2 linked regions of the Lepisosteus oculatus genome follow. The protein of the gene in region 2 binds, or shares a complex with, the protein of the main gene of each other region. Links are inferred from orthologs where the notes say so. Each region holds a gene or a part of one and is shown on either strand. Other genes may lie near its edges.

What was found. The genes of interacting proteins can lie anywhere in the genome.
Region 1: the proteins of itgb7 (region 2) and integrin alpha-E are in contact, whole or in part, in a cryo-EM structure (PDB 8ZJF), measured with the Homo sapiens proteins. The link is inferred for Lepisosteus oculatus from reciprocal best matches to the Homo sapiens genes ITGB7 and ITGAE. Residues at the interface, in NP_000880.1 of Homo sapiens: Val201, Leu202, Pro203, Ser206, Thr207, Val208, Pro209, Ser210, Lys211, Arg213, His214, Cys216, Pro217, Arg219, Leu220, Glu221, Arg222, Leu255, Asp256, Ser257, Pro258, Thr291, Phe292, His293, Thr294, Ala295, Gly296, Asp297, Lys299, Leu300; in NP_002199.3 of Homo sapiens: Phe36, Leu38, Arg91, His92, Arg93, Gly94, Leu111, Arg113, Leu118, Ser119, Ser120, Leu122, Glu196, Glu198, Arg230, Tyr233, Glu234, Phe237, Glu238, Cys239, Asn240, Ser259, Gln260, Val262, Met263, Leu266, Arg300, Leu401, Gln403, Phe406.

What each region holds. Positions count from the first base shown.
Region 1 is NC_090721.1:4,074,145-4,081,136, reverse strand, and holds the start of integrin alpha-E, read left to right. Parts: upstream 1-3,986; 5' UTR 3,987-4,292; coding exon 4,293-4,323; intron 4,324-5,655; coding exon 5,656-5,761; intron 5,762-6,027; coding exon 6,028-6,128; intron 6,129-6,226; coding exon 6,227-6,294; intron 6,295-6,992. Other genes in the region: uncharacterized protein, read right to left, coding at 123-265, 551-689, 3,285-3,350. UniProt on the Homo sapiens protein: Integrin alpha-E/beta-7 is a receptor for E-cadherin. It mediates adhesion of intra-epithelial T-lymphocytes to epithelial cell monolayers.
Region 2 is NC_090696.1:20,659,675-20,667,290, reverse strand, and holds the start of itgb7 (integrin beta-7), read left to right. Parts: upstream 1-4,523; 5' UTR 4,524-4,646; intron 4,647-7,616. UniProt on the Homo sapiens protein: Integrin ITGA4/ITGB7 (alpha-4/beta-7) (Peyer patches-specific homing receptor LPAM-1) is an adhesion molecule that mediates lymphocyte migration and homing to gut-associated lymphoid tissue (GALT).

The DNA of each region.
Region 1 (6,992 bases), on a different chromosome or scaffold from region 2:
GGTTCGCAAGCCTATACTTTTGAACAACAGTGATCTGAAGATTTTAAAGGGATCATGGCGGCTTTCTCACACCTGTGTGGGATTCACCCACAGTGTTCCTCTTCCCAAACTGAGAAGCTTACCATCCCATCCCTGACGTGGCTCTGGAAGAGATCTGATTTTGTAGACACAGCCCCACTGTCACTCATCTGTGCAGCAACAACTCCGCTCAGTATATTCTCAAGGCTGGAGCCGATGTGAGCGATTACATCTTTGTGGGCATTCCCTGGACAAAATAAGGGGTACACGCTCTTTGCTTTGCATAAAAGAAAAACTTGTAGGTAAGTATGTATGTCTACTCTGGGACTATCCACATGACCTTTATGCAAATCGTATTTAAACGGAAGATGCAGACAAGCACTCAATTTCCTGTGTAGACACAATCCTGGGCTTTACACTTTCACACTCTTCACCCCACATCAAGCACCCTTAGTTCCACTGTCAGCTGTGGTACAGAAATGCTTTTTACTTTCCTGCTTAGCATAAGGTTTTGAGCCTTGTGGAGTCTCACCTCTACAGATTGCCTTAGCTGCTCTCTCAAGAAACAGGGCTTTTTCTGCCTCAGAGAGGTCAGCGAAGAAGCTGACATGATTCTCTGTCTGCTGCTGCTGCACAGCCTCGAACAGGTCTGCAGTGAAAGCCTTCCACTCCTGAAACAGCAACAGAGAAGCGAAAAAGACTCTATACACAGGGTTTTAAAAAAGTCAAGGTGGACAGCCAGTAAGGTTAAAGCAATTCTGAACACCTACTTAAAAACATTTAGAATTGTGCAAAGATGTCTGCAGCATGACTTGGGTTAACTGTTCAGAGCAGAACATCAGAAAGACACAGATGTCACAGATAAGAAATGACCTTTCTGCCCGTTGGGCTTATTTGATTCTGTTTATAACACCACAGGCATCCCTGGTCCTGGAACTACCTGAGACCATCACGGTGTCTGCTGTATTTCAGTCCAGCTGAGCTATAAATCACCAGTGCTAGTTGACGCCTAGTTGATCTACTTCCTTACTGTGACTTACTTTTTTAGTTCACTTATTTGCTGCAGCTTCCGATATGGAATTCTCCCCAACTTGCTTACCCTAATTTCTGACTACAGAGTTATTAATCTGCTTTATCCAATACAGGACTGCGGGGGAGCCGGAGTCTAACTCAGCAAGAAATGGGCAAGAAAGTGAGATACCCCCTGGATGGGACTGTGGGAAGAAACGGAGCCACCCAGAGCAAACCCACGCAAACATGGAGAGGACTTGCAGACTCCACACAGATAACACCCCAGGTCGTGGACAGGAAAGCACTCCAATCCTGGCTCTAGAGGGATACTGTGTCTGCAGGTGGTGCCACAAAACCGACCCAATCAAGGCAATAATTTGGACTGGAAACCCAGGAGACACCAGTGCTCCCCAAGAACCAAGACTGGGAACCACTGCTATAGACACACTGTCTGAACGTAGCACCTCCAAGGGTGAAATTCCTTTTGAAACCCTCACCCCAGGAAAGCGACGGTTCAGAGTTACCAGTCAAACCGAACTTTAATGTCACTGGGAGATGGGAAGAAAGTTGGGGCACCCTGTGAATGCGGGAAGAACATGCAAACTCTGCACAGACAGGTGACACAAGTGGGGCTCAAACACTGCCTGGAGCCTGTGAGGCAGCTGCGCCAAGCACCGCACCAGCATACGTCTTGTTCCCCAGGAAAACCTTCTGAAGAGAGAAGTGAAATGATCGCATGCGTGGGGCGGCCAAGGAAACAGGGGTCTCACAGTCACACAGGGCCCCAGTCTCACAGAGCTGCACTGGAGAGCTCTGGGTAAAGAGGAGCTCCCTACGCAGATGAATCAGCCACAGACCACAGCCTCCCCTCGATCCACCTCTGGTTTATGATACTGTAAATAACTGTATTCAGTCTCACTTCTCCTTCCCTGTTCTCTAAAATAAACCTCCACAGAAGAAGTACTTCTTCTCAAGGTGACAAAATCAGACTCGGCAACGTTCCATCCAGAGAGTCAATTAATATCAGAGGAGTCACTGCCATTCCTTAAGCTCTGCTGCCTGCTGGCATGTAACCCTACAGAGAATATTTGCAAATGCAGGTTTCCCAGAATGTAGAACAATCTTCAGATCTATGTCTGCCAGCAGCGCACACACGGGTGTAACCACAGGCAGAAGCTGAGCACTTCAAAGTGGCCGTTAGCGGAACCAGCACCAGCAGGGTGCGTGAGGAGAGGAAACGGGTGATGGGAACCGACAGCAGAGAGAAAGACGAAGACGTGGGAGACAATTCTGTCTCCCACGGACCCGTCTAGAAACTCGAGCAGACTGTAGGCTGCCTTTGAGAAACAGCTTTTTGACGTAGTACATGAACATATTGAATACTTGCAGAAGCGCAACGCTGCCACCAAGGGAAAAACAATCACCCCCTTATCTCGTAATTATGAGGAAAGTATCTCCTCATTCCGAGACAGCGAAGTCTACGGTAACAGAGTAGCCTTCACTGTTGGGTTATCAAGCATCCCTCCATCCATTTTCTAACCAGCTCTTCCAGTTGAGGGTAGTGGGGGAGCTGGAGCCTATCCCAGCAAGCAACGGGCTCAAGGCAGGGCACGCCCTGGGTGAGATGCCTGCTTACACAGGCATGTTACTGTTCTGTCACCTCACAGCTTTCCCTTGTTTTTTTTTACTCTTCCTTTCTCATTCTCAGGGCTAAATCATCAGCAGATAACCGAATATAAACTGAAGAACAAGCCTGGGAAAGGAATTCAGCCTCATGTGTCCGGCACAACCTTGCCTGTGTATTTAGATCTTTTATGTAACGTTTTCGTAGATACCATACAAACTGTTTTCTGAGACCCGCTGGTGACTTTAAAACGTAGAGCGGTATGTCTTTACTAATCTTACCTGACCGGTCTCTTGCTAAAGTACTCGCTTTTAATAGAAATCTTTCTATTCTCTTCTAAAAGTAACCACATATGAGTGCGTGCCTGCTGTGGTACTCGGCCCTCTGTGCTTGCAGAAGTCACACAGGGCGCAGGGCGTAATTGAATCAGTTTTTTTTTTATTTATTTAGGTCACAGAAAGGAAAGCGTATAAACCATCTTAGAATCTGTACGGGTATAGATGAACCGTTTTGGAAAACACATCGCTTTTTCATCTTTCAACACACCTTATCGCAAAGCTTATTTATTTATTATTATTATTATTATTATTATTATTATTATTATTATTATTATTATTATTATTAAGATTACCTGCGAATTTTCAATGATTGTCCTTGCTTTTAGTAGCCACTGCGGGGCTGCAAAGCTGTTCTCCATTACTTAAAAGCTCTGCTGAGCCCAATACCGTTGCTAAGTAAGCGGGTTGCTAAAACAAGGAGGTTTAAAACAGACGCTCAAAGCTGACCAGAGGAGGCCACCCCGGTCATTCGCTTTGATGATAATAACGTTGCCTAATCGTAAAAACGCATTGTTCTTCTACTAAACCACTACTAGTAGGTTTAGTCCGATTTACATCTGGGGAATTATAAAAACTTTTATAAGGCAAAAAAAGGCATCATTTTGTAAAATCGTGTAATACAAACATGCCCTTAAAAACTTTATTCAATCTGCCATTCTAATTTTTAAAAAATGGCCGCTTTTTCTTCTTAGTTGAAGAAAATGGCGATTTGAAAAAGCAAATAAAATATCAAGGTGGGAGTGAAGTATTTTGCATTTTAAAATTGGCTTCAAAGACGCTGAGTCCTGTTAAATAAGAAATACTCGTTTTAATCCGCTGCTCGGACCGGGACAAACTAATCATGCTTTGTTAACAATTTTGTTAAAATAGATTTTTGCGTTGCTGATTTGACAATTCCCTCTGACCTTTAATTTCTTAACGTTTCTCCCTCTTCTTGTTATACGTATTGATATACCTGTGCAAAAAAAAACAGTACAATACAGTAGAGGCGGTGTGTAGGAACTATCAGGAAAAAAATGCGCAATTTAGTAATTTAAGTGCAAACGCACATTAGACGGAAAAAAATAAAACTTGATTGGATAACTTACACCTTAAACGGGTTTATAAAACCTGAAAGCGACGTAATAAGTAATTTAATGTATTTTTAGGAAGAAAAGTTGTGAAGTAGTATTACGCAGACTTGCATGTGACTATGCGACAGACATCCCACATCCTCTTCGGAACATATCTGCCTGATATGCGAGACATATGTCGCTGGTATTACCAACGTTTAAAAGATTTATTACGGAAACCACACCGAAATGGCACATAATTGTCTATTGTGGCTAATCAGTGAGTACAACTTTCCTTGTAATCAATTCCGTAGCTGCAGAAGTCATTACTTGCTCTTGTGTTACGCGTGTTAAACTTTATATAAAATAAATGTTTGGGGGGTTTAATTAAAAGGTGCGAAAATGTCTCGGACGTGATGAAAATACTCTTTTACACTTTCTGCACTGAGAGTTCTTACTATATTATACGGAACCTCAAGCTCATTGAGAAGTGCAGAACGTGAAATATAAAATAAGACCCCTCCTTTTTCATCAGTGTCTGACTTCTTTTTCTCCCTCTAAATGTCTTTTTTATATGTATTACATTTCGTGCTGAAGAGTATGATGTTTAAAATCTCAAGTTCGGCTGCGGTACGGGTGTGGTAGCTCTTCTGTAATAAAACATTCTCAACATAATGCATTCATTTGAGAACACCCTTGTCCTATTTTTCATATTCTTTCTCCAACGAAGCTAAAATCTAGCACTCACCACCCAACAACGTCATCACCTCTTGCCAGAATATATATATATATTACTGGCAGATCAAAATGTGCACCAGTTTCGAGATGTATTAATACATAAAGTCCTAAATCGTGATAAGCACTGCAACGTGTGTCAATAGTTCAACAAAATACATACATTATTTTCATACAACAAAGGGAGCAAACTTTTAGGATATAACGCAAACGAATTTGGAAACTGGCGACGGTGAAGGCTTTTTTGTTTTCAAGAAGCTGAGAAATAATGATACATTAGCGGTCAGGGGAGTGGCCCAGCGCTACAGCCGGCACCCTGGGTTCAGTTTCTGGGGTGCTGTCTGCGTGGAGTGCTCGCATGTTTCCTCCCACAGTCCAAAGATATAGTTTGTAGGTTAATTGAATTTGGGGGAAAATGGCCCTGGTGTGTGTGTGTGTGTGTGTGCCAACACGCCCTGCAATGGACGGGCGTCCTGTCCAGGGTGTACCCTGCCTTGTGCCTGTTTCTTGCCAGCTTGCACTCCCAGTCCGACACGACCATGCACTGGATAAAATCTGAAATTGTTCATGTTGCTGAGACATGTATTTTGCTGCTGTGTTCTGACTCCGTGGTACATGCACCATGATGAAATGCGACTCTCGCGCATCTGCATTTCTACCTCTGGAAGAACTGACACATGGTCTCCACTCGAGTACTGAGCACGTTTGGATGATCTGGTCACCCCTTTGGACTGATAGTGAAAATCTCCTTCCTTAATTCATTTATTTTTTTCCCTCTTCCTCTCTCATATTACTCTGGTCCTGGAGGGCTGTGCAGTTCTGTCCCTATAAAGATAAATCTAACGTACCTAACCTCATATTATTGTTGAATTTGCAGCTGTATATGCAGTGGAGGGTTTTAATATTTACTCCAAGCCGATTCAAACTTTTGAAGAATTGAACAGCCCTTCCCTAGGGCAATCTGTCCTTCAGTATGAGGATGGGTGAGTAGTGTAAAGAGTTACATTATCCTCTGCTTCATGAAGTTTCTGGCACTTTCTTGTTGCTTATATTCTTCAATTTAAAATAGTATATTGTGGTACATATGGTAATCTTAATAACAATGTTTGTCTTTATGCTTGTTGATATATTAACTTGATATTATAATAGCCTTATAGGAGTGTAGCTAACTAGCAATCTTTAATATTTGTAAATAAAACGCAACGGTGATCTTCTCCCAATCTTTAAGGACCTGTTTCTTTTATCACAGGATCTTAGTTACTTCTCCCTTGGACAATATGAGCGACCAGCAGTATGGTAGACTTTATGACTGCAAGGTCTCGGCACACTGTACTGAAGTCAGCCTCACAGGTACAAGTCCAGTTCCCTGATTTTTGATATGCAGACAATATTGTGTTCCCTTGTGCAAGAAATGGGGGTGATCTGGGTATTTATCTTTGACCTTGTAGCGAAAGAGAAAAGCTATCGGAAACCTATCATATCAGCAGCCAAAAGCTCAGATGGATCAACATACCTGGTAAGGTTTCTATTCTGTCTCTTGCTAATGCTACGAGAGAGTTTTTGTTTTCTGTAATTAAGAAGAGTATTTAAGATTAAAATGCAATGCTCTGATTGTATTTGGAGATCTTAGTGTTCTCACAGAAATGTCACGAGAGAATGCAATGGCATATCATTATCTCACGGTCAACTAAGAAAACAAACCAGCATTTTTTGTGTGGTGGTGAGGATTCATAGACTGTCGAACCAAGGGACAGATGATTCCACATGCGAAGGAGCAATATTTCCCAAAACGGCTCCAATTTCAAAGATGGTTCAAGGACGTAAGTGAGAAATGCCAACACAAAAAATTTAGGAGGCTTGCAGAGTAGCAGTGCAGCAGTACTTCTGCATGCTTTGCATGAGACCAGACAGCAAATACAGCTGTGCTACACAGACACAGTCTACCACTACTTTCTTAAACCCATCTGCCACACCACAGCTTCCTTTCTTCTGAGCAAGCTGTACTTCACAGCCTGAAGTCAATGCTCTCTTCTCTTACTCCTGCCCTGCTTGTAATTGTGTATTTCAAAATCGTGTAGCTCATGCCTTTCCCTTCATTTAAGTACTGATTCAGGCTGGTTGCCGTATGGGATTTGTACAAGATTTGTTTCTTAGTCATACCATCAAATTTATGGATTTTGGAGATTTGCAATAAGCTGAAAATCAGATTTTCTA
Region 2 (7,616 bases):
GAACTTTACCTACGACTGCGCCTACCGTCTCGCCCCTCGGATTTGGAAACTCTCTTGTTGCTCTCCTCCTTCGGACCTTCGGATCAGACTTCTCGACTTCGACCTCTGCCTCGCCCTTCTCTGGTTAGGAGACCTTCGTTCATGCCTTTTGCCTCTCGGACCTCGGATCCCTTATCAGACTTCGCCTCTCGTTTAACTCCTAAGGTACCGCATAGGTCCATCCTCCCGTTTGCTAGCGGGTTACTCCTGACAAAGACACAGGACTAGCCCAGGACCAGATCTTCGTACAGGAGAGAGCCTCAAGGAGTCAGCTCCAGAACCTTCTCCGTCCTGGCCCTGTGATGTTCTCATTTCTTCCATTTTGTTATTTGAGCAGTGCTTGATCTAAATGCTCTCTAGTGAGCCAAGACCTTTCATCCAGTTCTTAAGATATTGAACGAGAGCTGTAACTCATCAATCCTTACTAATTTATCTGTTCCACACCTATTCTCATCCAGGTGTGTGCTCTGGAGGTAAGTGGAGCTCTTCGGATCAAAGGGTCGTGCTATGCAAGTGTCTGATTCCCACCGGCACTTCGGCACCTCTTAGAAGTTGCTTGGATGGAAATCAGATGGCACACGCTTAATAACCAAGGAAGGGTGGAGCTCTAGTTGCTACATTTCTTCGAGACCCCTGGACTGAAGACCGGGAGACGCACAGGGCTCCTCCAGGGCCCAGGTTGAGCACCAGTGTTAACACCCTTAAACTGCCAGCTGCTGGGCCAGTTGAGCTCTCTGAGGAACGCCCAGTGTCTTTCGCTTTTGTTCTTGAGATATTAAACGACGAACCTGAAGATCTTCTCACTTTGACACGTATAGGAGGTTTCCTAGGGCTTTTTACATTTGGTAACCCTAAACTTTCACTTCATTTTGTGACGTTCTTGGTGTTTCTGCCCTCGCCGCTCCTGCCCTGCCGTTCATCCCTCACTGCCAGGGTGCGAACCCGGGTCTCTGGCGTCACGCTATGGGGAACTTGCCAGCTGAGCTAAAGGAGACCTCCCTCAGCCCGGGCCGCTGAGATCCCTGTGATACGCAAGGCCGTATTCGTTACAATTACAAGTACAGCTAACCCAGCTCCAAAACTAGGTTGGTTTGGTTTAGGAAATTAAAAAAAACTGTAACACTTCTTACATGTGAAGTGTTACAATTGTATGATTAGACCGGTTCTGTAACTGGGGGGGACAAACCCAGAAGATGAGGGGACCCTCCCCCTGGAGCGGAGCTGAACCCGAACTGCACCAGTTTCCCTTCTCCTCCTGCAACTCCTGTCTTTGGTCAGGAAGGCTGGGCTTCTGAGGGTTTCCCCTGCTGCCCAAACCCCACGGCGGGCGTCGCTCGAGAGAGACCCGGGCGACGCCGAGTGGCTCTGGCAATGCGCGGCGGGAAAGGGCTGCACACGAGGCAGGGGCTGACCACTCGCTCCTGCCCGGGATGTCCCCACTGCCGGGAGAAGCCCGCAGGGCGCAGGCTTGTGAAGGGAGGATGCCCAGAGACGACAGAACTGTGGTTCTCATTCGCTACATTTCAGACGGCCTGTGGAAGTTCGCATCAACTCGGATGTGCTTGGGTGTGCTCGGATGCACTCCGGAGTGAAGGGTAATTCTCAGAAAGCTTGCAGTCGGTTCCAGCTCCTGATCTCCAACTGCTTTCCTTTTACATCAGTTCTGCTTCCTCAGCCAATTAACATGCACAGTATAATGAGACAGGATCAACACGTCAGCCGATAGGAAACATCCAGCTAATAGCACTCCATTTCAAAGTGGCTGCATCACAACCTGTGTCCGTCTAATTCGTATCACATTAATCTGTTTCAACAGCTGAGTAGCAAAGGAACTTCTAGTCCGGTATGCTTGTAGTCTGTCAATACTGTCTGTATTGGTCTTAGTAGGACAGGTGTAGTCATATAACTAATTGAGAGTGCCATCGAGAAGGTGTTTTTGGGGTGGTTTCAATGTTCGAATTCCAGAATTAAGAGTTCTAGAATTGCCCTATGAATCACATCGAGGGGTTTCTTTCATTCTATTTCACTTGTTTCTTTTATCTGTTACATTATTTAAGCCGATATGTCTATCAAAAAGCAGACTTGCGTGTACAGTGCTGATCTGGACAACCGTCTCTACGGCTGGGTATTTTACTGTCTCCTGGGCCCTCCCGGGCTCTGAACACAGAACCATTCTCGACTCAAGAGCCCTTGTCACTGTTCTGTTTCCATTCCAGCTATCAGCCAGGTATCAGTCAGTACCTTTCAACAATGGTGCATTCGATGTGACTCAGACCAATCTTTTACCCGTGCTTTTGAATTAACTTTAATAATTTATTTAATAATTAAATGAATTTCAAAAAGGCTCTTGCCCGTCTGTGGTTAATTGCACAACTTCAGCGAAGTATCGGTGGTTGCAGCAATTTGCACTCTCTATGTTGTAAAACGGGGGCTTGAGGTCACGAATTGTCTTTAATCTGTTTTTATTATTGCCTCAGTCCTTCCGCCCCGCCTGACCTCAGCCCGTGACAGGCTGGGGCCACGCGCTCCTCCGCCAGGCTCCCAGTAGCAGGAACTCGCGCGTCTTTCTCAGCGGACGAGCACGAGTTCCTGTTTTTAGCATTTCCTGCTTCGAGTTTGAGCTACACAGCTATTGCCTGTGCACGGGTACTCCCAAGTATAACGTTCCGTAAAACGCCGCTAATGAAATCAAGTGAAAACAACAACGCACTCGCCCCCAAAAAAGAAACTACAATCAGGAATAACGGAGTTGGAGCCTCTCTCCGTAGGCGGCCGTTCTCCGGTACGAGAAGCAGGAGTCGTGCAGTGACAGTATCCTGTCGCTAGATGGAGACAACGCCTTGTTTTGAGTCCGCAGGCGGCGGAGACAGACTTGGAGGCCAAGTCTGGACCGATTTAGGAAATGAGAGCTTTGTACCCCCTCTGTAGTCAGATCTGAATTGATGGCGGAAGAATTAGTCTTTATTTGGATTGTAGTCTGTTTTGAACAGTGATGACTCCGAATCATTCTACAACACACTTCATTCTGCCGATCGAAATTGATCTCGTCTTTATTCACTCTAGTCTTACCGTAAGTGTACGGCTGAGCTCAACCCTGTCCTCACGTACTGTGAATGTTTAAGTGTAATGCATTGGAATAGAGGCGCCTGCTAAGGAAAGAACAATCCAGCTCGACTCCCGGCGCCTCGGAGTTCAGCGTCATGGTCAAGTCACACTCCTGGAGAAACTGGGCAGTGGACTGCGACTGTAAACTGTTTTTGATCCCAGAGCAGTTGATGACCACTCCCATGTAGTAATCCACAACGAATTTATCACTCAGGTTGATTCATAAAGTATAAGTACTTAGGTGTACACATAGACCGTAACCTGTGCTGGTCTACTCATGTTGAGAGTGTTTGCTCATCAATTCAGCAGCGCTTAAATTTCTGGAGAGCGTTTGGGGTTCGACAGGAAGTAATGCTACTCTTTTACCATGCTAATAGTTTGGTAATCTATCAGTTTATTTAAACATTGCAAATTACCCGCCTCATCCACACAGCTTTGAAGGTCGTGGGAGTGAAACAGCACCCCTCCCTGTAGACAATCGTTGAAAGATCCATAATCAAACAGGCAGGAAAAATTATATCAGATCCTTCCCACATCCTCAACTCTGAATATCAACTTCTTCCTGCTGACAAACGTTTTAGGGTTCCCAAATGTAAGTCAGATACAAACATTCCTTTGTTCCACTCTCCATTAAAGCTGTCGACGCAAATGTTAAGGATAAACACAATTTTGACTCTTACAACCCACTTGAGCGCAATATGTTTTGTGAGGTGTTATAAATGTTACATGTTGTTACGTGTTATACGTGTGCAATAGAGTGATGTGCAATGTTTTTCTTATTTTTTTGTAATAGAATAATGTGCAATGTTTTTCCTTTCTTCTTTTTGGTTTGCATTCTATTTAAATGTACAGGAGTGCTGTGTGTCCATAAAACAATTCCCTCAGGGGACAATTAAATCTTATCTTATACATATATAACTAATGTTTATAAAAGGGTGTCTGTTTCACGAGATTAACCCTCCTCAGAGACATCCCCTCAGATCCTCAACTCTCAAGAATAACTTCCTTCATCGAGTCATGGCCGAACGAGGACAAAAATTTACTTGATTATCACCGAAACGGCACTACCAGGTGCATCTAAGCAAAGTGTAGCAATTGTGGTACAGAATGAATAAGAATTTTTATGACGTTTTAGAATACGAGAACCGAAAGGTTTTTGTGGTAAAATCTCAATTTCATTTCAAATATACAGTACAGTGTATTGGGTTATATCCTATATCACCGTTATTCACCCCACAAGTCTAGGTTTTAAACTCCAGATTTTTCAGGATAATAGAAATATATTCATGTTTCATAACTAAAAAGCTAACTTCAGCGGCAACTGTCGACGCTCCCTGGAGCTGCGAGCTCGAGCGCCTGTCTATTGGGGCACGTGTCAGAAACCGCTCGAGCTACTCCTGCAGGCGCGTGAAGCTGCGCGTGCCCAGCCCTTCACAGACCTGCAGATCTCGCCTCGCGCGGACCGGCGGACGGAGGGTGACGGGCAAAACACCACGGTTATCGTGAGTAAAGATGACAAAAAACATCTACGAAACTTGCTTTCGCATCGCGTTGGTGTCGTGGCCGGGTGTTCAGTGCAGGTATTCGTCAGGATTTACGGTGTGGTGCTTTTCTGTTACAGCTCCTGCCCAGTTGAGAAGTTTCCGAGTTTCTTATTGGAAAAGCCTGAGAGAGACGAGGCAGTTGGAGCATTTCTGTGTCTTAGATGTGATGGTGTGAAGATGATTGGTTTTGTTTGATTCACGTATTTTCCGATACACAAAAAAACAAAATCCATTTCTTTCTGTAGCTACATGCGACACACAAGACGGAAACTTTCTGGTCCGGGTTTTTATCCTCATGTGTTCCCTGGTGCTACAGTACATCACCCCTCGGTATCGGTTCAGTTTTTAAGAATGTAAAGGTTCATTATGTTGTGTCCTTACGCAGTTCTTATCACGAACCACCCCCGGCCCCGAAGAGCCAGATTTCCAGGTTAATTAGGACCACACTTTCACGGGGGTGTTTGAAGACCTAATTCGAACATTTATACGTTTATTTTTGCTCCACGAAACGTACCCCCGATTCGCCCGACGGGACAGAAAGCTGTTTCAGAAGTTACTGGAGCTCCCTGCTGAGCGCAGCTCGTACTGTGGGTGACGCCGAGAGGTCTGGAACCGTGAATAATGTCTCAGTCCCGCGTTGTAAGCGCCACAGAAATGCAAAACTAGGACGAACTGATGAACACAACTGTCGTGGCCTGGTAAAAAAAAATTCCGTATATAATTGGTGTGATTTTAAATGTTTCGTCCTGTGAAATTCTCTTTGCTTCGGCAGTCTATTCGGTACAGCCCCGAATGAAAGGCCAAAAGGGGCTGAGCGCAAATCTGGCATCTCAGTTCAACGGAATTAACTTGATGCCCGCCAAGATCTGTCGTGATTTCTGTGTTAAGAGCTTTAAATGGCGCCCGCGATGCACCGTGTTGCTGCGCAGGTAGTGAAACGGGCTGCAGGAAAGTGGGAAAGGAAGGGAGGTGTGTGGAGGCTTCAGGTGTTGCGGTTTACACGTGTTGTTGTTCGTGTTTTGATCGCGGAGCTGGAGGTTGGTGGCCGCTGGTTCTCGCCGAGCAGTCAGGCGCGCCTCTGCGGTTCGACAGACAGGAGAAGCGGGGGTCTAGCCCTGCAAGGGTGTGGACTTCAAAGGCGAGAGGGACAGGATACAAATAATAATGATGAAAAAACAACTGTTGCGAGAAACTTTAGCTTAACTGATGCTCCAAACGTGAGATGCGAGGTGCTAATTCAAACCGGAGCTGGGTCGCGCTGTGGATCCGAGGGGCGTATCAACCCAAGCGATTTTGCCAGACTTTGTGTTTTTACCACACTGCGTTGAAATAGGTTTTGACCATGAATCTCGCTGCGTGCTCTCTGGAGTTGCAGTTGGGCGGCTGCGGACGTGTTTTGATGCAGTGCGTGCTCTTTTGGGGTTTCGATGGATGTTTGTGCCGCAGCTTCGCTGACATTTCGGAGGCGCCAATGTATCAGGTGAAGGAGGCTCTTCTCTTGCTTCCAGCCTCATCCTTCAGCAAACGTTTTCAGCTTCTTTCGCACCGCTGCAGGGTGGCACAGGGGTCAGCATTGCTGCCTCACAGCACTCGGGCCCTGGGTTACAATTCCAGTCCTGGGGTGCTGTCTGGGTGGAGTCCGCATGTTCTCCCATGGTTTATATGGGTTTCCTCCAGGTGCTCCAGTTTCCTCCCACAGTTCAAAGACATGCAGGCAGCTTAATTGGCTTCTGGGAAAACTGGCCCTGGTGTGAGTGTGTCTGTGTGTGTTCTGTGATGGACTGGTGTCCGATGGACCCTGAATTAGATAAAGAGGTTGGAAAATGGATGGATGACATAATCATTTCTATTTTTGCTATATATTCAAGAAATTTGTATTTGAGATGAAAAGATGAATTTGATGCAAAAGTACAGAATGTCGCCTTTCATTTCTGGATATTTCTGTGCTTATATGGCGTGCAGGTTCAGAAGAACACCACTTTTTGTGTTTTATCCCCCCATTTTAAGTGAACATAGGTATAGGGAGAAATTAACGTAAAGTAGTATAAAACGTGATTGTTTGGTTGCTGATCTTTTGGACACAATAACTGCATCAAGCGTGTGACCCAGGCGACATCGCCAGGTTCTTGGGTTGTTCTGTTGAGATGCTTTGCCAAGCCTTTGCTGGAGCCATTTTCAGAAGCTGTTTGGTTTGGGGGGTATCTGACCTCACTCATCCTTTCAACAGATGTGTAACGAACAGTTCTATCCGGACCCTATGTGGACGACACGATCCAGAATAGTGAGGAAGGAATGCACTAGTCATGCAGGAACAGGGATGAAAACAGGGGGGCGTGTCCATACGGTGCTGGTGATCCGGGGAGGTGTGGTCGAGGCGAACAGTCTAAGAATAAATCCAAAAGAGGGAATCCAAAAACGAAAGCAAAAGGTCCAAGGCTGAGAAATCTGTCCAAACAGGAGATTAAAATCAGGTGCTGGGTCGGGACCGGCTGGGGGAACAAGGACAGGAGCAGGAAGTTAAAAACATGACGGAGCCGGGCACAACCAGGTCCTGTGCTCGCACGATGCGGGGATCAGATGCAGAGCCCCGGGTGAAGTGAGCGCCTGGCTCCTTACTGAGGAGTTTTTGGCTCCTCTCCTCCGTTGTCTTCTGGTCTTTTCTGTTCTGTATTCACAACATGTAAGGTCAATTGCTTTGTTAAGGGCCCTGGGGCAACCTTGTTGTGAAAGGCGCTAAATAAAAATCCACTGAATTGAATTGAACTATGTGGTCATTACAAGCAATGAAGAATGTCGTTGTACACCTTGATCGTGTAACTGGCATTGAAATCCACTTTAAAAAGTTTTAAATATTTCATGCTGTTACAAAGGTTACGAATCTGAGGCCACTTGCTGGTTAATTGAGCTGAGGATCTTATCCAGACCTGT